Coturnix japonica: one gene and its partner. Each later gene encodes a partner of the first gene's protein in a complex. Links are inferred from orthologs where the notes say so. Each region holds a gene or a part of one and is shown on either strand. Other genes may lie near its edges. The genes, in order: OPRM1 and POMC.

What was found.
Region 2: the proteins of OPRM1 (region 1) and POMC are in contact, whole or in part, in a cryo-EM structure (PDB 8F7Q), measured with the Homo sapiens proteins. The link is inferred for Coturnix japonica from reciprocal best matches to the Homo sapiens genes OPRM1 and POMC. Residues at the interface, in NP_000905.3 of Homo sapiens: Ser66, Met67, Ala70, Ile71, Met74, Gln126, Asn129, Tyr130, Leu131, Met132, Gly133, Trp135, Val145, Ile146, Asp149, Tyr150, Met153, Arg213, Ile217, Asp218, Cys219, Thr220, Glu231, Lys235, Val238, Ile298, Val302, Lys305, Trp320, Ile324; in NP_000930.1 of Homo sapiens: Tyr237, Gly238, Gly239, Phe240, Met241, Thr242, Ser243, Glu244, Lys245, Thr248, Pro249, Leu250, Val251, Leu253.

The regions. Positions count from the first base shown.
Region 1 is NC_029518.1:45,127,098-45,137,320, forward strand, and holds the start of OPRM1 (mu-type opioid receptor), read left to right. Parts: upstream 1-4,791; 5' UTR 4,792-4,911; coding exon 4,912-5,246; intron 5,247-10,223. UniProt on the Homo sapiens protein: Receptor for endogenous opioids such as beta-endorphin and endomorphin. Receptor for natural and synthetic opioids including morphine, heroin, DAMGO, fentanyl, etorphine, buprenorphin and methadone.
Region 2 is NC_029518.1:96,190,516-96,200,627, forward strand, and holds POMC (pro-opiomelanocortin), read left to right. Parts: upstream 1-4,546; 5' UTR 4,547-4,635; intron 4,636-5,222; exon of another isoform or gene 5,223-5,609; 5' UTR 5,610-5,649; coding exon 5,650-5,778; intron 5,779-6,590; coding exon 6,591-7,214; 3' UTR 7,215-7,455; downstream 7,456-10,112.

The DNA of each region.
Region 1 (10,223 bases):
AGGACCAAGTTCAGACCATTTTCTTATCTGAAAATGAGCAGAGTTTGCAAGATTTTGAATTCTGTAGCTTTTAACTGTTTTAAAAATTAACAAACATGTGAAAGCATACAAATATATATATGTGCATGTCTATATATAGTCAATGCTCTCCCTTTGCTTTATTTCTAAAATTAATTTCTGAAAATAAAGTGATTTAAAAAAAAATTTATATATATATATATATATATATATATATATATAGGTATCATTATGCCCATTCCACAGCAATTTCACTAGTGTTCTTCCACATCAATAATCAAATTCACCTCCTTATTCTACAGTAAGGGATTATTTAATTTCATTAAATAAATAATGCATAGATATTGCTAAGTATTACAACAACCTCAACTTTCAGTGCTACCAAAATGGCACTGAACTGTGATTCAGGAGTTGTATATGTTACAGAACAATTTATTATGGTTCTTAAGAGTCTTCTGGTTAATTCATAAATCTTAGTGGAACCTATGAGTCCCACAACAAGTACTTTACTATCCTATTCTGAGGATTTCCTAAAATTGTATTACTCTTTAAAAACTATCTGAATCTCCTTCTTTACCAAAAATCTACTGTTTCAACACATACTTAATGCTGTCCTTCTTACATGTCAGAGCAATATTTAGTATTTAGATTATAAAAAACAACTCTTATGTTATATGATAAAAGCTCATCTGCACATTCACAAGAAGCACAGAGTAACAACAGAAGCTGAGTGATCCTAAATAATACCCTGCTCTGGCTACTCCCATGGCCATAAGAGGAGGCCAGCCCACCAAAGGCTCATCTCCCCAGTGCATAAAGGAAAAGTCCTGCTATGTCAGACTACTGATATACCTCACATCTTACATCTCTGACATTCGCTTGTACTAAACACTTAAAACAAGTTGTTTTTTTTCTTTCACTCCATTAGCGCCAGCTCATCTTGCCTTTAATAACACACATGACAGTCCTACCCCAGTCTCTTATGTCCTGGATATTTCCTTCTTTACCACCTCCCCGCTTTAGCCCTCATCACCTCCTTACATTTGTCCTCATCTCTTCTGCTGGATAGCTCTTGTGGGCCTGCTGCCAAGATCCATTTAACTATTTTTTTATTTTTTATTTTTCTTGTCTATAAAGATAAGAAGCAGCATTTTCAAGAGAATATAGGCCATTGTTAAAACATTTTTACAGATCCTTAAGATATATTAAAAAGTGTTGAAATGTGCGATTCTAAATCGTGTATTTACAGTGTATATGCAGTATCGATATAAACATCATACATAAAATCCTTATGAACTGAGCAGTGGAGGCTTGAATTTCTTCAGGGCAGAAAAAAGGTTTTGTACAAAACATTGCAACTGAAACTAAGGAGATGGAGACATGCTGATCTCAATTAGTATGACTTTGGGTAAATAGCTTAAAAGAACCAGAAAGACACAGACAAGTTATCTGAGCTATGTTAGATAAAATCATGTCTAATGTAGTAGCCCCTTCAGGCCATTGAAATACTAAGATTAATTAACAGGCTTACCCATAAATTTTAAATTGCATTTTCCATGCTACACATTCCTTGCATTACATGATGAGTAGAGTTGACTAGTCTGACACAGCAAGGAGATGTAAGAGCTCGGCTCCCTTTTGTCCATCACATTATGCCATTATTTGCACATGGTAGAATTCCAACACATACTTTTCAGTTCAAAGTGATTTAAATAAGGAACTAAGAGATAAGGACCACGTTTAGTCTGTTCTACACATAAGCAGGCTCTGCTCAAACACCAGCCAAACCTGAAGGCAGGTCACACAGCCTGTTAGTATGGTACAATGATTTAAAACAGTCTTCACAGAACTGCTACCAAAACACTATGACTACATCACCTAGAGAATGTCCTTACCAGGCGACAGGAGGATCTATCTTTAATGCAGTTCACAGCCAGATGAAGACTATCATTCTGAGAGATCAACTGACTACTACTTCTTCTTATCTGGCTGAGATGTATGGATGAGCACAGGCTCTTGACTAACATTCTGCAAGGAGAGAGAATACTTCCACTAGCAAGGCTGAAGAAGAGCACAGCCTACTTCCAGACCTCTTCTTGCCCTGATCCTGTAAGAAACAAGTCCCACTGCTATGCTACCAGTATACAGGCTATCTTTATAAAGGGCAGAGCCATTCTCTCCATTCTGTTTGCTAACTGGATTGTAAGCAAGGAACATTGTTTCCATTTAGTTTAGGACCCACAGAGTTACTGCAGAAGTGACCTCGCTCCATGAAAACTCTGGTTTTGCTGTGGATGTATCTATAATTGCATCAGAGTGATCTCTCTGATTGCTACTCCTAGGACTGTTTTTGATATACTGTTTTCACTCTAAAATTCAATTCTTGAGATTTTCTCAAAGCTTGAGCCCATCAATTTTTAGTTACAGCCTTGGGAATTTATTTATCCTAGTGCTATGGCAGAAAAGAGACATACAAAAATCTGTTCTGTGTTGGAAGCTGTGATTCTGACCCCAACCTGATGTTGAGGCAACTATTGAAGACGTACATGTCTTAAAGCTCTGCATTTTCCCTTTCTACCTGCACCATACTGCTACCCACAGGATTACTGATCTGGAACTATACAAATGTATTTTCAGCAGAATCTTAACTATGCAGCCCTCCATGATCTGAAGTTATTTGTAGAAAAGTATTATACATTATTATACTTAAAATGTCCTTCACCATCTGAAAGCATCATTGCAAAGATTTATTGCGTGCTGCCTTTGTCCTTGAGCAATAACATCTGTAATAGCATTGCAAAGAGGTGCATTTACTATCATCCCCTTACCTTTGAAACATCGCTTAATGAGGCCTATCTTAAATAGGCACAATTCCCAAGGCTTATTGCCAATTCTCTCTGAGGTCTGCGTTTTCATCTGTACCTGCCAGAAGGTTGATTTAATAGGAATAACAATTCTTCTGTCTTTAACAATAAAGCCTTGTATATAACACCAGATTTACCTGGGCATCCATTTTTAAAACTTTTGGAAGACACTCATTTTTAATCCATCAAAGGTCCTTCTGATAGCTAGAATGATACAAAGCTGACTTTAACACAGAATACAACAACAACAAAAAAGCTGTAGCAGCCTTGATTTTTGTTTCCCATCTGCCCTACTCCTTTCACAGCTATACAGAGGTGTATCCAAAAGGCCAAACACTGACTGCCTAGGCTTGCATTAAACTATTTTGATGGAGTTGGTGGAACAAAGGGGAAGCAGTGAGAGAGGCTCCTACGCTATGCACATAGTGCACTATGCACAGAGATAAAAGTCTTTGGGAACAGCTCAGTTTTAAAGCCCTGCTCCTCCTGTTCTGTGTACAACTAAATATGCTGCACTTCAAGAAGCAGTGAATTTCACCATGAGAAGTCTCTGAGTATTTACTTTCATTACTGCATGTCCACAAATGTTTTCAATTCTGAACCTTTCTTCTTATTCTGAATATGATGCTAAATGGCTCTCTCATCAATAAATGCTGAAAATACTCTCTCTGGCCACTGGGTAATAAGTGCTATCTACACAAAGAACCTGTTAACAGCCTGCTCGATTTTCTTCCTCCACTCTGTTGTATCTTAGTGAGATTTGAAACTATATCACTTTAAAAAAAAATGGGTATCTATTACTCATATCTGTATCCCTCTCAAAGTCCAGTAACACTCCATTTTAGTTTTCACTGTTTTTCCTCCTCACTGCTAAAGGTCAGAGATACTTTAGAAGAGTGTGTGGTCTTCTACTGCTACCCACCCTAACCAGCAGTAGCTGCCATTACTTCTGACACAAAAGCTCAGGAAATCATTGATCTAAATTGCCTATATTTTTGCATCTTTCTGGCAGGCTGCAACTCATCTCTTCTTCTTCTGCCATTATCACTCCTGAAACAGCAGGACATGCTTTGCCTGTGGTAAGCACAGACACTGAGGACAAGTCTGTGATGAGGCAGCAGGGGCAATCACTGCCACTCCATCTGCTTCCTGATCACCAGTATTTCTTCTGCTTTACCAAGGAACCCTTCTGATTTCATTGATGAAGCAGTAAAAGAAACAGGTCCTGGTAATTAGCAATCAGCCACCCTGCTGGCACTGCTGGCAATGTCTGTCTGTACACAGAAATGTGCAAATAAGCAGTGGCCAAGTCAAACACCTGTTTCAGTGTATGGACATTGCCTTCCAGTAAAGAGAACGGTCTCCATATCTTTTCTTTTGAATGTTATCACATCTGACAACAATGAAACCAATTTCTAGGGGAGATGGCTCTTACAGGTCTAGAGTGGAAATATCTCCAAAAACTATGTGAATATAGGAGTTCCTAATAATTTCCAAAGCACATTTCTGTCCAGTGTGGTACCACACAGCTCCCCACGTTTTACTTCCAGTGTCAGCTACTCTTTCTCCAAGCCACAGAATCAGGGAGGGCACAGTCTGGTCGATATTCTTGATTCACTGCATTAATCAGCTGCACGCTGACCCCTGCTCAGCTCGGGCAGCATCGCCAGACATTTCTTCCAGCTGCTTACCCAGGGGAAGGGAACGCTTTAAGGGCTCCCCATCCTCATATGCACAGCAGGGCAGACTCTATTACAGCAGCACACTCTTAACCCCAAAAAGCGCTTCGCTTGACGCCTCACGAAGACCTCACAGGGGAGTGAAGCGCCACCTCCCCCCCGTTCCGCATCTTCCCCGTCGTCGCAGCTCCTCCTCCCGGCCCGCCCGTCACACACATGTGCCCGCAGCCAGCGGTGGGGCGCGCCGTCGGGGCGGGCGGGAGCCGCCGCCTCCCTAGCACCGCCCGCGCCGCGCATCTCTCGCATTCGGGCACGGGGAACCGGTGGCCGCTCTGACGCCGCCTCGTACCATGGCCGTCGCTTACCTTTTGGGAAACGGCTCTGCGCCGCTCTTCGCCGGCGCCCTGGAGGTCCCCTTCGGAGCCAACGCCTCCGCTGCCGCCTGCCGCCCCGCCGTGCCTCCTTGCGCGGCCGCGCCTCCGGGCACATGGGGTAACGGTACGGCGGGCTGGAACCGCTCCGAGCCTTGCAGCGGTGCCAACGGCAGCGCGGGCGGCGGGCCATGCGCTCCCGCGGGCGGCGGCGGCCCCTCTGTGGTCACGGCTATCGCCATCATGGCCCTGTACTCTGTAGTGTGCGTCGTGGGGCTTTTCGGCAACTTCTTGGTCATGTACGTCATCATCAGGTGAGTGCCGCCGTCGGGCTGCGGAACGGCGTTCCGGCGGCGGCGGGGTTAGGCTGCGGAGGCTCCGCGGAGCGGTGCGATGCGAGGGATTCCTGCCTCCTGGGTGCGGGGTGGATGAGTAGAAGAGGCTTTGAGAAAGCGTCGGAGCGAGAGATCGTGGAGGGAAAACGCGGCGGGGCCGAGCGCCCCGTCGGAGATACTCTACGTGCCCCTAGGGCTGCAGCACCCGTCAGCGCTCCGACCGTGGGGCCCGACACTCGCAGCTGTCCGCTGCTGAGGGAGGGTAGAAGGGGACCGCAGCCACCGCGTGTGCGGGTATACGCACAGCACTCAGCGCGCATCTGTCCCCAAACCTGTGCCAACACAAAAGCAAAATATAAACGGCATCTCAGCTCAATGTTTCTCTCTCTACCTGGATTTATAGATCTTTACCTCGAGTGTTGATGTGCGTGTTTTATGCTCGTATACATCTGGGTCTGTGTACTTGTATATACATCCACCCGTACGCATGGGGATCCTGGCAGCTCCCCAGGCTCCCAGCTGCGCTGCAGCAGTGAGCGGCATTGTCACCCGCAGGTCCCTCACAAATGTGTCTTTCACGCACGAGGAATCTCATAACCGTAAACCGGCGGCAAGCGGGTGGCAGAGAGATGAAACGGGCTCCGGTGGAGTCCGGGTCGGGTGTTCGGATTCCGTGGAGGAACAGTGCCACCTCCCGGGGGCGGCGGGGCCGAACGGGACGAAGCTGCCCTCGAATGCCCCGGGTCGGGGCTGGCGCGGCACCGCCTTCCCCCGGGCAGCTGGCCTTTCCGAACCGCGCTTCTGCAGGGAGTGCCCCGGGGGAGTGCTCCCTCCTTGCCGCAGGTCTTGCAGTTACCCCGGGCAGCCTCTGTCCCTCTGTGCAGACACTGCGTGGGGCTCAGTGGTAGCTGTAACAAGCCAGGGTGATGCTCCAGTGATTCTTTTGGTGTACAACATAACAGCAGCTGCTGGAGATGTGTCTGCAAAGCCCGTACAACTCATAAACCTATTGGGAACATGACTTACACACACCAACGGTTCAGACTATTACAGTTAAGAATCCTACTGCTTTTAGCCATACTTTAGAGGCAGAACAGGGAAGATTCTTTGTGCCATGAGAATTTGGTCAAGGTGAAATCCAAGCTGTCTATGTGAGAAGTGCTCCTGAACAGGAACATGACTGCAATGGTCTGAGCAAGTAGTGAACGCCTTCCTTTGGGAGAAGAAGCAGATGCACAGTGTAACAGAGCCAGGGTGGTTGTCAGCAGTGTGTATGTTAGAAGTCTTCCATGGAATTGTATATTTATACCAGCCATAACCTGTTCTGGGTTCATATTTCTTATATTAATTAATTCAATTACGCTTACACCACAAAGCCAAATTAAATGAGGCACCTGCATTCAGCTTTCTATCTTGAGACCATCTTTCCCAGAGATTAAACCTTAACACAAAAGCCAGAAGCAATAAAAGGCAAAAAAAAATATGTTTTAATTTTACAGAGGAAGACATAAATCAGTTAAATTACCTCCTTAAAACCACTCTGGAATTCTGCAACAGAGATAGGACTGAACCCAGGTCTCCTATGCTTTCACAGCAAGAAGCTTTCCATATGACAAATTTCCTTCTCAATATCCTATTCATATTTCCTGATTTAGGATGAAAAAAAGCTTGTTTATTATGGTTGAATAGAATCTGCAGTTTAAGCATCACAACAATGCCTTTCCTTTCTGTGCTTCTATATAGGTTTGGTATACTTGGGCACCTGTAAGGAACTCTGAGTTTTTTCCTGTTGCAGGCTATACTGACATGAGAGTATTCCCATATTATATTACATGCGTATATGGAACAGTGAGCTTATGTGCTCATATTCATGAAACCTTAGGTCCCACTAAAGATAGGAGGCAAACCTTTCCTTGGTTCTAATTTGACGTACTATAAATCTCCCTATCTTTATCTACTTTTCATACAGTGACTGCTCAAGAAAAAGGAAGTTCTGATGTTTGTGTTAATTTTGAGATGAATTAATACTACAAGAAAGAAAAATTGAAAGTGATATTGGCAGCTTGTTTACTTTGAAAATGCCAGAAGCTTGGGGGGAGATGCTCAGATGTTTGAAACTGTCCCTACTCACCTCTTAGAGTCCAGTGAAAGTTTGGAGTGCTGCATGCTAATACATTGTGCTCAGCTTCTTTGGAAACATTTTGTGGAATAGCTATTAAGTTATTTTTATAAGCAGATGACCTTAAAGCCCCATCCAGTTGTCCCGTCTCCTCCATGTGAAGCAGATCTGTGGGCCTGGAGCCAGAGCAGTGCAGTTGCTTGCCAGATGTGGAACTGTCATTATCAATATATAATGTCATGGGCTTTGTATACCTGTACATTATCATGCAATCTCAACCACCCTCCTCATTCTCCCAAATGGTTTCTATTCAGCTGAATTATTTCTTCCTTGAATTAATATTTACAACGCATTATATCTACAGTATGTGAAGCTGAACCCCATGTTACCGACACTGAGCTGTTTCCTTTGTGAGGTATGAAAAATGCCTTCTGAGTGACAGCAATAATAGTCAGGTTTTACTGCCAGCCATGAATTTTGTTATCTCTTTTCCTCATGTGTTTTGTTTAAGCATGAACTACTAATACAAACACAGTGTCATTACAGCTATATTAACAGCAAATGCTACAGCTAGTTGTTGTGGAGTACAACTCTGTGTACAGTTACTATCATCATGTGGCACTGAATTAATTTCACATCAATCTATAGGCTTTTCTTGCTTTCTAGACAAGTCAGTAGGATATGATGAGAGGGGGATGAAGAATATGGCCTGTGATTAAGGAGGTGTTCACAGTGCTAAAAAACTGTGATAGATCATAGCTGAACATCTTTGGCATCACCAGAGTAGAGAAGTTGAGGCCCCAGCCGTGCACTGGGTGAAATGCCATGAGACTGCAGCAATGCCATCAGTAGATGCTATTAGCACTCAAAGCAAGAGCAATGCCTTAATTGCTGTGCTAATCATTTTGTCACATATCATAAACAAAGGAGCCTGAGGTGCCCCCTGATCCTTCACAGGATGAGGGAAATGCCTTTTTGCATTAGAGTAAGTGATTACAGAGAAGTCTGCTTTGAGGCAAAAAGCTTTTTACAGTTCTCAACTGTGTTTTGAAAAATAAAATACAAAAATTATTACTAGATCATCATCTGATTTGGGAAGACTGTACACTTCTGAAACCTCTGCTTACTTCAGCCTGGCTCACTTGTGCTTTGAGAGTACTGTTTTAGTAAGAAAGGGACTTGGCATGTAATTTCAATTGTAGGAAGAATGGATGTCTTCAGAGGAATACTCTGACACGTGGAAAGAAAAGCAAGGAGTTCATAAACAGGATATGGAGTGGAGAGAGTCTGATTTGAGAAGTAAGCTGAAGATGACCCACTGAAAATGATCAGAGGTTAAAACAGACTGAAGCAAAGAGTTTTTTTCCAAAAACAAACAAGCAAACAAACAAACAAAAAACAACAGGAGCTCTTCTTTGCAAAGGGGCTCTGAGTTATGGATCCAGTGTGAAAGAAGATCCATGGAATGCCTTGTGGCAGTATAGTTCAGGGAATTTAGAAACATAGAAATCCATAAAATACATTCTTTTCTTTCCTGCCCACAGCAACCTCAATCTCTTTTCATTTGGATGACACTGCATCTGCCATCTCCAGGGAGACCTGATAGCAGCCTTTCAGTATCTAATAGGGGGATATAAGAAAAGGGACTCTTTAGCAGGGTCTGTTGTGACAGGACAAGGGGAAATGGTTTCAAACTAAAAGAAGTTTGGTTTAGATTGGGTGTAAGGAAAAAGTTTTTTTGCAATAAAGATAGTGAGACACTGGAACAGGTTGCCCAGAGAAGTGGTGGAGACAATCAAGGTTTAAGGGAATCTAAGTAGGCAAGACCAGCCCAGAAGCCGAGTTCAAAGAGTGGTGCAGTGAGAAGATGACCCTCAGCACACCACATTACACAAAGGCATGTGTCTCATTTGCACACTGCTTGCAATAAAAATTTACCAACATCTAAGGTAAGGTGCTCTCCTCTCCTCCAGAATCAAGAGGAGCAGATTAGATAAAATGCCATGTATACTTCTCTATTTTCATTTGGTTTTTTTTAAGTTATATTGATACAACCATGGTTGATGACCTCAGAACAGCCATGGTCTCTCTGAGAAAGAGGCCAGGTCAGGCTGCCCAGCCAACTCCCACCTGCAGGACTTGGGCTACCCCTGCAGCACCTCCACCCCTGGGCAGAGATAGATAGGCTGAAAACTTCTCCCCTCACTCAGTTTCCTCATAAAAGTCAACCTAATTGCTCTGACTGTTCATGGTATCAGTAAAACTAGAACATATTATAAGCACATATTATCCATATTTTAATTACTAGCAAATTAATGATGAGTTAATGTGAGCTAGCATAATCCCGAAATACTGTTTTGTTTTCAAATCATCAGTCATAGCTTTTAATGAATATTGTTGACAGGCTTTCCTTTTTACATTTTTCTAGAGCAAAAGATGACATACAAAATCTCAGACAAAAACACAATGTAAGCCAAAAAGTCTCATAATCATTACCACTTTTCCAGGCATAGACAGTAACTGGTGTTTAGACAATGAGAAGAAGAAAGAGAAGTATACCTGTGTGAGACTCCTTTTAACAGTCTGTTGTACTGCAGGCAGATTTCTGGACTGCATTTTGCATCAGCATTTTTTCAGTACCTTTCTGTGGACATTTTTCCATGCAGCAGTCCCAGAAATATCTGAATCTACAATAGGGTTGGAAATAATATGTTGGGAATACTGTTACTTTTCAACAAAGCTGTTTTGAAGCAGTCATTTTCTAAAGTAAAATTTGAGAATTCTGAAACATTGTTAAGGATTCTAAATTAGTTATTTTTAAGTCTGAGTGTAAGGAT
Region 2 (10,112 bases), about 51 Mb from region 1:
TGGTTGTTTCCAACCATAACAATTCGATAATTCTATGGTAACAATGGGACAAATCACACCCCACAGCCAGCTCCTTATGGGGCAGTCTTGGGTTGGGAGACCAAGGGAAACATTTCGCTCTCAAACCTCAGCTGAGAGCTCCTCCAGTGCGATTAGCTAAAGACCAGCTTCTCTTTATTGCACATGAGTGGATGGGCATTTAACGTGCTTGCTGATAATGCAATCCATTATCTTCATCCCTCTGGTCCTGCTGCGGGGCCGGAGGTGGCGGGGGAGGCGAGCCGGAGGAGGGACAGAGCCGGGCACAGCCGGGCCTTTGTGTGGCCACTCAGGAGCCACTTTCCCCGTGAATGTTTGGGCTTCTAAATGGATCTCACCTCCCCTCCCCCAGCCCCTTTGCTTTTCATTTCTTTTCCCCATTATACTCGGAAAAAAACTCGTCCGGATCATTAGCGTCAGAGGCGGAGACGGGCGCTGAGTGCCACATGGAAGAGGCGAACAAACATTTCGTTCAATGCCCCTTGAGTGCCGTTTAGCTCAAGGCTGCTCCTTCACAAAGGGAGATGTGAAAATGGGCCCCGCACGCTGCTGTGGGGCGGCCGGCCACCGGGTAGAGCTGCGCTGGAGCTGCCTCTTCAGGGAGACAAAGCACAGCCATTTCGACTGCCTTCGATTGATGTCTGAGCTCTTCGGGGAGCATTTAGTGAGGAGGGAAGGAAGGGGGGGAGGAATTCAATGGGAGCCCAGGCAATGTGCATAGTCATAACCACGAAGCTCTGAAATGCCCAAGGTTGAGTGCTTGGCTCACTGTCCCCAGCATCCTTTCCACGTTCGTGGATGTACGTCAGCTGCAGCCTCTCTGATAGCAAAGGGTCAACTGAAGCCAACATCAGGCACCGCTTGGCCAACTCTTTCATAGAATCATAGAATCATTCAGGACTCCAAGACCATCAAGTCCAACCCCAACCCATCACCACCATGCCCACTGACTGTGTCCCTCAGTGCCACATCTCCATGTTTCTTGAACCACATCTACACACTCCCAAAGCCAGCAATGCAGATTGCACATTAAGAAGAAGCTGTTAAGGGTCATCATGAAGCCTGTGCCACCACCATGCCTTCTTCTCAATCCTCCCTAACACAAGCTGTTTTTGTGGGCAGCTCCTGATCCCCAAACCCATCCTTGTCCAGCCTCAAACCCATTGCTAGGACTGAGGACATGGACAGTATCTCTGTCCTTGCAGATCTGCCACCAAACTCACACTCAGTCTGCTGCAGTGCTGAACAAGAGGCCAGGATGTGTTGCCAACAGATTTGCCATCAGTCTTGCCCATTAGCTTTACCATTGGTTTTGCCATCAGCTTTGCCACCCACTTTGCTTCCAGACCCCCAGTGCAGAGTCACACAGCTGGCATCACCCCAGCCACCAATATTGGCTTTGGGCACCCTCTCCATGCTCCATCTGGGTACCAGCTGGGAGCAGACAGGAATGGAATACATATCCAGCTGGATACAACTGGAACACAGGAATGCGGTGTGGGAGCTGAGCTATAGGAAGGAAGCCCCTGCAGGGCTTCTAACCTCTACCCACACCCAGATCCCCCCTAATAAGCTGTAATCCCTCTTAGGGGCACAGGCGGTAATCAGGGATTTGGCTCCAGGCGTGCAAACGTGTGTGAGCACAGGGCAAAGCGTGCAGGCGTGTGCATCATCGCAGCTCTGTTGTGCCTGTGTATGTCTGCAGGATGCTACCAGTGCAAAAAGGAGAAGAAAGGCAGCAGGAAGGAGAGAAGAAAATGTGTAACTGGACAAAATACATAACAGGGTGATTTGGGGGTTCCTGGCTCCACCTCACCCACTTTTGCCCCCAGGATAAATCTGACCTGGGCTAACCCAGCACATAGAGCAGGACAGCTTCAAATCCAGGAGCTGATGTGAGCAGAGTTCAGTCTAAAAGCAAAGAGTGCAGTAGTTAATGATTGCCTTCTGTCATTAACAGCTACTGGATTGGAGTGAGTGACTCCTTGGGAAGGGCATCCCATGCAGCAGGCTGCCATGCTTCCTACCCTTTTGCATGGATACTCATCACTGCTGAAGGACCAGCAGGTCCACTGGGAGCTGTTTAGTGATGCACAGCATCCTCTCATACACTTCAGAGCCCCACATGCTTTTTTTTGCTTCTTCCTAGCCAAATGCCTTCATTCTAACTTCAATCCGATGACCTCAGGAGCAAGAGGTTGGTGATGGGACCCCAGCCCCTTCCGGAGCTGCTCTTGTTCTGGTAGTGAACACATGGCCAAGCACAACCATTTTAAGAGCAAATTACACAGCTCGCATTTCAATGTGTGTGCTCAGGATTGATCACTCCTATGTCTTCTCCCAGAAATGTCCTACCTTCATGGGGAAACCAGTAAAAGAGCTACCAGGTCAACAGTGCAAAGCACTGCAAGAAATCTCTAACCTGAGATTATTAGGGATGGGGACGATCCAGCAGCACACAGCATATGGCTGCAAGGCACAGATGTGACGCTGGAGGGATGTTGTTCCGGGCAGTACTACATGGCTGTCAGAAGACCCATACAAGCCCCAGCACTGCTGTTCATAGCCCAGGAGGATTTGAGCACAGCTGTGAAATTCACACCCCAGCCCAGGACTCATTTGCACGTAAGTGTGACCTGTTCAATAAATTAGAATGGAAAGGCCAGAAATCACGTGGCTGACGAGCTGCTCACCTGCAGGTGCACCTCCATGGGGACAGCAGCATGGCAAAGCCATCCATCCATCAGCCCTTGCCCATGGCATCCCAAAATTCAGCCCCCAGCCTTGCAGTGTCAGCCATTGGCACAGGCTGCCTAGTGAAGTAATGGAGTCACTGTCCCCAGAGGTGTTCAAGAGCCATGGAGATGTAGCACTGAGGTTTAGTGGGCATGGTGGGGATAGATTAGAGTTGGACTTGGATTGGGTTGATGGTGGCCTAAGAGGTTTTTTCCAGCCTTAATGATTGTGTGATTCTGTGAGTAGGTATGATGGTGATAGGTCAGCAGTTGGACTTGATGACCTCAAAGGTCTTCTCCAATACTAATGACTCTGTAAGTGGGCACGATGGTGATGGCTTTGCAGCTGAACCAGCCCCAGCTCCAGGAATGCTCAGGCAGCACCTGTGTAGGCCTTGAGGGATCACACCTTGGCCATAAATCCCAGCAGGAAGTACAAGGGAATGTAACTGGGCTCTGCTCAACAGTGCTCGGGGCAGCCCAGGGGCACAGGGCACAGCCTGGAGCCCAAGAGCTGCCCATTAGTAGCATTGCAGTGCTGGGTGGGTGCTCAAGCCCTGGCACAGGGAGTGGAGAGGTGTGGGGGTCCTCCTTGGGGGTGCCCCACAGCCCCTGGCCGTGGTGCTGGGAACCCAACCATCCTGAGGCTCTGGGCTATGGGGAGCTCAGAGGATGGACTCAGACCAAGCTTTGGGGGCTGTATCAAGGCTGGTGAGCGTGGAGGCATTCTTCATCCCAACGCCTCACCTCAACAAAGTTTCCCTATTTCCTAAATAGATTTCTTCCTTATAAAAATAACTGGCTCAGAGAGGCCTAATGAAGATGAAAGAGCTTTTAAAGTGGGAATCATAGCTCCTTTTTGGCCATAAAGCATTCAGAATAGCTCTCCGTCATGAAAATATATTGCATAGCAGGGGATCTGCCGTGGAGGGTGGAGGCAGATAATACAGTTAAGGAATATGAATTGCTTGTGCCACAGAGGTCTCCTGGATCTGGGGGGGAACTGGAGGTCTGGGAAAGGCATGAAGCAAAGTGAAATGGAACCTGTGACGGAGCTTTGTGCACCATCCCAAAGCAGTGATGTCAACCTCATGCACCCCACATCCCACCGCAAGGAGGAGAGAATCCAAATCCCATTGCAAGAGGGGAGCACCCACATCCCATTGCAGGAAGGGAGCATTCTGCTCACCTGCACATTGCTTGGTCTCGGTGTCTGGAGGAGCCTATTGGCAGCTTCTATAGCAATATATTTTACAGCTCAGGTGAGCCCTAAAGAAAATGAGTCTTGCTAAGCCTTGGATTCCTTGCTATAGGAGAGGGATCTGCAGACAAAAGCAGTCCAGTGGAACAGAGAGAACAGAGGTTTGTGCACAAGGAGGGGGCTGTGTGTGCTGCCATCCCAAGTGGTTTCTTTAAAAACAACCCTTTATTCCACCAAAATCCAACCCCAAACCCCCAGCACCCATCGGAGCACGGAGCCCTCCCACACCCGATCATAAGGAACAGATGCCCCTGCACCAAACACCCAGCAAAGCACTTTCCGTCCGACCCCTCTGATCCCGAAAGCAATTAACAGCTTCGCATGGAAAACTTGGCCGGCTGCGGCTGGCGGGGAGATGCTAATCCCATCCACAGCCACATCAGCGCCGTGCTCACTGCTGCTCTGCTTTTGTTCGCTACCTGGAAGGGTCCCTCCGTCCCCACCTTCCCCTCCCTTTCCCACCCCCAACCAAGGGCCATCCAGAGGGCGGCTGCGGCGCGACGCTGGGGGTATATAAGGCAGCAGGGATGCAGGGACGTCGCAGACTTGCTCTCGGGGAGACGGGGACCGGTGGTGGCTGCGCTCCAGCCCAAGCCGCAGGTGAGACCTCAGGGATGCAGCATGGCCCAGAAGGGCTTCTCTAGGGATATGGGAGGGGGAAAACTTTGCAAAATCTTGGTTGCAGTGGGTTGTTTGCATGGTTAGAAGGATGGCAGCAAGGGGATAAAGCACCCTCTTCCCTGAAATGCTTCGTGCATCCCTGCCCCCCAGCCTCTGCCCCCCCTTCATTCTCTGCTTTTTTGGGTTACTGCATGCTGATGTGTTACAGAAGTGGCCCCACAGTTGCAGATCCAACACAGCTGTGTCAGAGCTGGGAGGTTCCAGGCAGCTGCTCCCACGATTTTGGGGCAAAAGACCCAAAAAGCACCTCCACGCCCAAACTCTGCCCACTCTCTATTAAGAGCAGGATGAGATTTTCATTAATTTGCCTATAGTTTTCTATTCTTTGGGATGGGGTTTTCCTCCCCTGGCACTCCCAGGTTGAACCACGTGAGTCCCCACAAAGTTAAAAACAACTTGGGAAAGAGTTGGGTTTGGCAAAAGCAAAGTTAAGTGGATACATCAGCCTGGCACTGCCACCATCACCACAACCCTCACCTCGTCTGGACTCACCCAAAGCAGTCCCTGCAGCACAGCCTGCATCCCTGGCACTTCCAGCGTCTCCCAGAGCGCTTCCCAAGCGATGATCTGATGTTATTTCATGTACCATTTCAGCTTGAGGGGGGTTTGCAGGGGCTGCAGCCTGCAGGCAGCTCCATCATGCTCTCCCCCTGCAGCATCACTCGCTTGCCTGTGGCTCTCAGGAGGGGCAGAAATCCTCATGGCAGCGGCTGTCACCTGCAAAGGCGGGTGTTAATGCAGGTGACAAAGGACCTGGGATTTCGGAGGCAAAGGATGGTGACAGCAAAGCCACAAAAGGCTGGAAGGAGGGGGATGAAATCCCAGCAGAAGCAGCAGCCCTGAATTTGGGCAAATAGTTGTTATTTTTTTTAACTATTTCTTTGTTTCCATAGCGCTCCTCTGCAGTTTGGGGACCCATCCTTGGCTGGTACCATGCGGGGTGTGCTGTGTTACAGCCTGCCTGTGGTGCTGGGGCTGCTGCTGTGCCACCCCACCATTGCCAGCGGCCCATGCTGGGAGAACAGCAAGTGCCAGGACCTGGCCACTGAGGCTGGAGTTTTGGTAAGTGGGAGCGTGGGGCTGCCCCGGGCTTGGTTTGCTTTCTAACCCAAACGGAGGAGGTGATGGGATGCCATCCCTGCTGGGTGACATAGTGTAAGGTTGGAGTGATGCTTTGGGCTCTGTGATCTGAGGGTTTTCGTGTGCTCACGCCTTTTGGCTTCATAGAGTCACAGAATCCTAAAGTGGTTTAGGTGGGAAGGGACCCCAAAGCCCCCCCAGCCTCAACCCCTGCCATAGGGACACCTCCCAGCACATAACTCCATCAAGGTATGGGGCACCCACAGCTTCTCTGTTCCACAGCTTCACAACCTTCATTGTAAAGAACATCTTCACGTTGGGTAAAATCAGTTTTTGGACGGATATCATCCCTCCTACGTGGGATGAATCAGGAAATCAGGGAGTGATGGTCATGGGATGGTGGTCATGGTTAATTCTCTGCAGGGGCTGAGTGTGCTCTGTGGATCCAACGCACTCAATGCTCCCCCCCAGCACCTTTTACATCCCCATAGAATGGGTTGGGTACTCCATGCTCCCCCTGGGGGACACATAGAGTGGCACTTGCATGGGGACGTCACCAAGGCACGCGGCCACAGGTTGGACGTTAGGAAAGATTTCTTGCCCTAAAGGTGATGCAGTGATGCACTGCCCAGGGGATGCTAGGGTCACCATCCCTAAAGGTGTTCCAGAACCATGACACAGCACTTGGGGACACCGTGACTGGGCATGGTGTGATGGGCTGGCAATCAGACTTGGTGATCTTAGAGGTCTTTTCTAAGCAGAATGATTTTACGGTTCCATTTCACCCCATGCAGGCGTGTGCCAAGGCGTGCCGAGCTGAGCTGTCGGCCGAGGCACCCGTGTACCCAGGCAATGGACACCTGCAGCCCCTCTCTGAGAGCATCCGTAAGTACGTGATGAGCCATTTCCGCTGGAATAAGTTTGGCCGTCGCAACAGCAGCAGCGGAGGGCACAAAAGGGAGGAGGTGGCCGGCCTTGCCCTGCCCGTCACATCACCCCACCACCCCGCTGGGGAGGAGGAAGATGGAGAAGGGTTGGAGCGAGAGGAAGGGAAGCGCTCCTACTCCATGGAGCATTTCCGCTGGGGTAAGCCGGTGGGACGGAAGAGGAGACCCATCAAGGTGTATCCCAATGGTGTGGATGAGGAGTCAGCTGAGAGCTACCCCATGGAGTTCCGGAGGGAGATGGCGGCCGACGGGGACCCCCTCGGCCTCTCAGAGGAGGAAGAAGAAGAGGAGGAGGAGGGTGAGGAGGAAAAGAAGGATGGTGGCTCGTACCGTATGCGGCACTTCCGCTGGCATGCGCCGCTGAAGGACAAGCGCTACGGCGGCTTCATGACCTTAGAGCACAGCCAGACCCCGCTGATGACTCTGTTCAAAAACGCCATCATCAAAAGCGCCTACAAGAAGGGTCAGTGAGGGGAGCCCAGCCCACGCGGCCCCACGCAGCTTTAGTGTCCTGCCGCCATGTGTGTCACTTAGATCCACAGATCGCTCGTTATGTTGTTAATTACTACTCCAAAACCCTCCTGCCCCCGACACCAAATGGCAACAGGTTGGGGCTGAACGTACCAATGTGAGCAGTGCTCACGCTGGGTCATTTTCCTATTTTCACCAAGCTGTACAATACTGTAAATGATGGATTAAAAGAATTCTAAAAGAGAAAAAAAAAATTAAATAAAAAGACATATATATATAATTTTTGCAAGCTATCTATGTGTCTGCAGTGTCTCTGTGGCTGTGTCTTGCCAAGGGGTAAAACAAACAGGGACATGTTTGGTGGGACAGATTGATAGTTGGACTTGATGATCTTACAGGTCTTTTCCAACCTTAATGATTGTCATAGAATCATATCATAGAATGGCTTGGGTTGGAAGGGACCTCGAGGATTGTGAAGCTCCAACCCTGACTCCGCCACCACAGGCAGGGCTGCCAACTTCCATATCTACTACTAGACCAGGCTGTGCAGGGCCCCATCCAACCTGGCCTTCAACACCTCCAGGGCTCTACCAGTGAAATCTGGAGTAACTCCAAGCCCAAATCCTGCAGCCGGGGACCAAAAGGCATCACTGGGGCTGTGCATGGGAGATGGGATATATTTCAGTAGAGGTTACTCCCAAGGGATTTGGGCTCCCCCATCCCTCAGCAGCTTCCCCAGTACTGATCTCTCTGATAAACTCATTAACTGCCTATCAAATGGCAACACAGAAGACCCTCAGGTACCAAAGAAAGTGACCTTACCTATAAAGTCATGTTGCTAAACCTGAGGGGTTTAGCATGGTAAAGAGGGGCAATGAAAGCGGGGAGCAGCTGTGGATCTGGGACCATCTTCAAGAGCAAATATCAACTGTGCCAGGAGTAACAAATCCCTACCACCTCCCCCAGCCTTACAGAGAAACCAGGTGCCACGAACGTGCCAACAGAGCTGATCCCATAATGTGGCAACACCAACATTTATTGGAGGGCACGTCTGCAAATATCGACGGCATCTCAGCCCCTTTCACAGCCCCACTCCCCTCCTGCCCTCAACTACACACAGAAACAACACGGTGCCCTGAAATACAGAGATGGAAACGCACACATGCACCTAACTGCTGAGTTTATAGAAATATACTTTGTCATCTATACAGACACCGGTATCTAAACTAAATGTGATGTACAAACAAATCACTTACACTGTGTGTGTGTATCTGCAGAGACATTTACAAGTGGAGTTTGGGTCCTGAAATGTAATGCTGAGCACAGCCAGCACTTGCTTTTGGAGGGGAATAGGGGATGTAACAAGGGAACAGCAGCACTGGGACCAGGGAGACCACACCGAAACCCCCAGCCAGGGGATAAGGTGCAGTCCTGCCCCAGGATCCCTGAGAAGCAATGGAACCCCAGGACGTGACCTGTGCCATCCCCATGGCAGCCAGGTTCCAAGGAGCAAGCCTTGTGCTCATCTTCCCACCTTCCTTGTGAGTTTGAAGTGGTTTGGAGGTGTCATCCCCTCCCCCCCATGCACACACAGTCTGGCGGTTAATTCCTTTTACTACTCCATTTTGCTAAACATTTACTGTTTTTCATTTGCACAGCTATGGGAGTGAATCCTCCTTTGTCAAGCAGCCTCCTTGCATTCCCAATGCCAACTTCACCCAGCCAAAACTCCAGGGGGACTAACGAAATAAAAAGGGACAGGCTGGGAACAAAAAGATGGGGGGGACCCCAAGGAGTGGCTGTGGCAAGGGACAGCCTCAGGCTCTGGGCAGGGCTGGCAAAGCCACACTGCAATCCCAGCCCTGGGACTGAAATAAACCCTTGTTTTTTCTGTCCTCTTAAGCTAGGTCATTTCCTAAACCCGGATTACATGACAGCCACACAAACAAGTGGTAGCCTCGGGGCAACTGCAAACTGCACCCACCACCAGAGTGAAAAAAAAAACAAACCGATGTCAACGTGGTATTACACCTTCAAGTAACTGTCTGAAGAGCTACAGTAAGAAGGGGCAGAGAAAGGAGTGGTCGCTGAAGCAATCCATTGGCCACAGGCAGCACCACTGCGACCACTGGGTTTACCTGCTGTCCCCCCACTGTGCACAGCACCATCTCCCACACCTCCAGTTTTGAGTTTTAGATCCTCCTTGTGTCTCCTCCTGTAGTGAAATCAGAAGCAGCGTGTCCAGCTGGAAGGAAAGGGGTTGCCCCAGAGGTGACATGGGATTTTATAGCAGTCCTGGTGCAGGAGGCTCCATGCTTGGTTCAGCAAAAAGCTGCCTGACCACAACAAGAGGCCTTTCTTTCAAAAGGATTCAGCTAAAAATAACCAATCTTTTCCTCAGACAGGAAACCCAACACTGTGAAATCCCAAACCAAAAGCATGAAAATAGTTGGTTAGTGTGTTGATATGCCCAAAATGTGGTTTCTGCTCATGACTTATGGTGGCTCCAGGTGACTCAATGCACTGGCTGTGGCTGCTGTAGGGCTTCCCAAGAACACCCTGCTGATGACATGGACAAGTCAAATACAGCTCTTCTGGATCTCCCCTCCTCCTCGAGAAAAGTTTTCCCAGATAAGTCATGTTTTCAAGTGACCTGGAACCAGCCAGGTTGTTGTGTATCCCAACACTGGGATGGGACAATTGCTGCCCTCCTGTCACTCCTCTTGTCCAGAGTGAAGTACCCGAGCAACTGGCCATGCACTGGGGCAGCTGCTGGGAAGATGAAGCTCACAGGCCAGGAGCTGGATGTGTGGACTGCACCCTTCCCAGTGATCTGCTATGTGAATGAGCTCTAGCAGGATTTAGTTTTACAGTTGCCCCAGGCTCAGGCACGTTGCA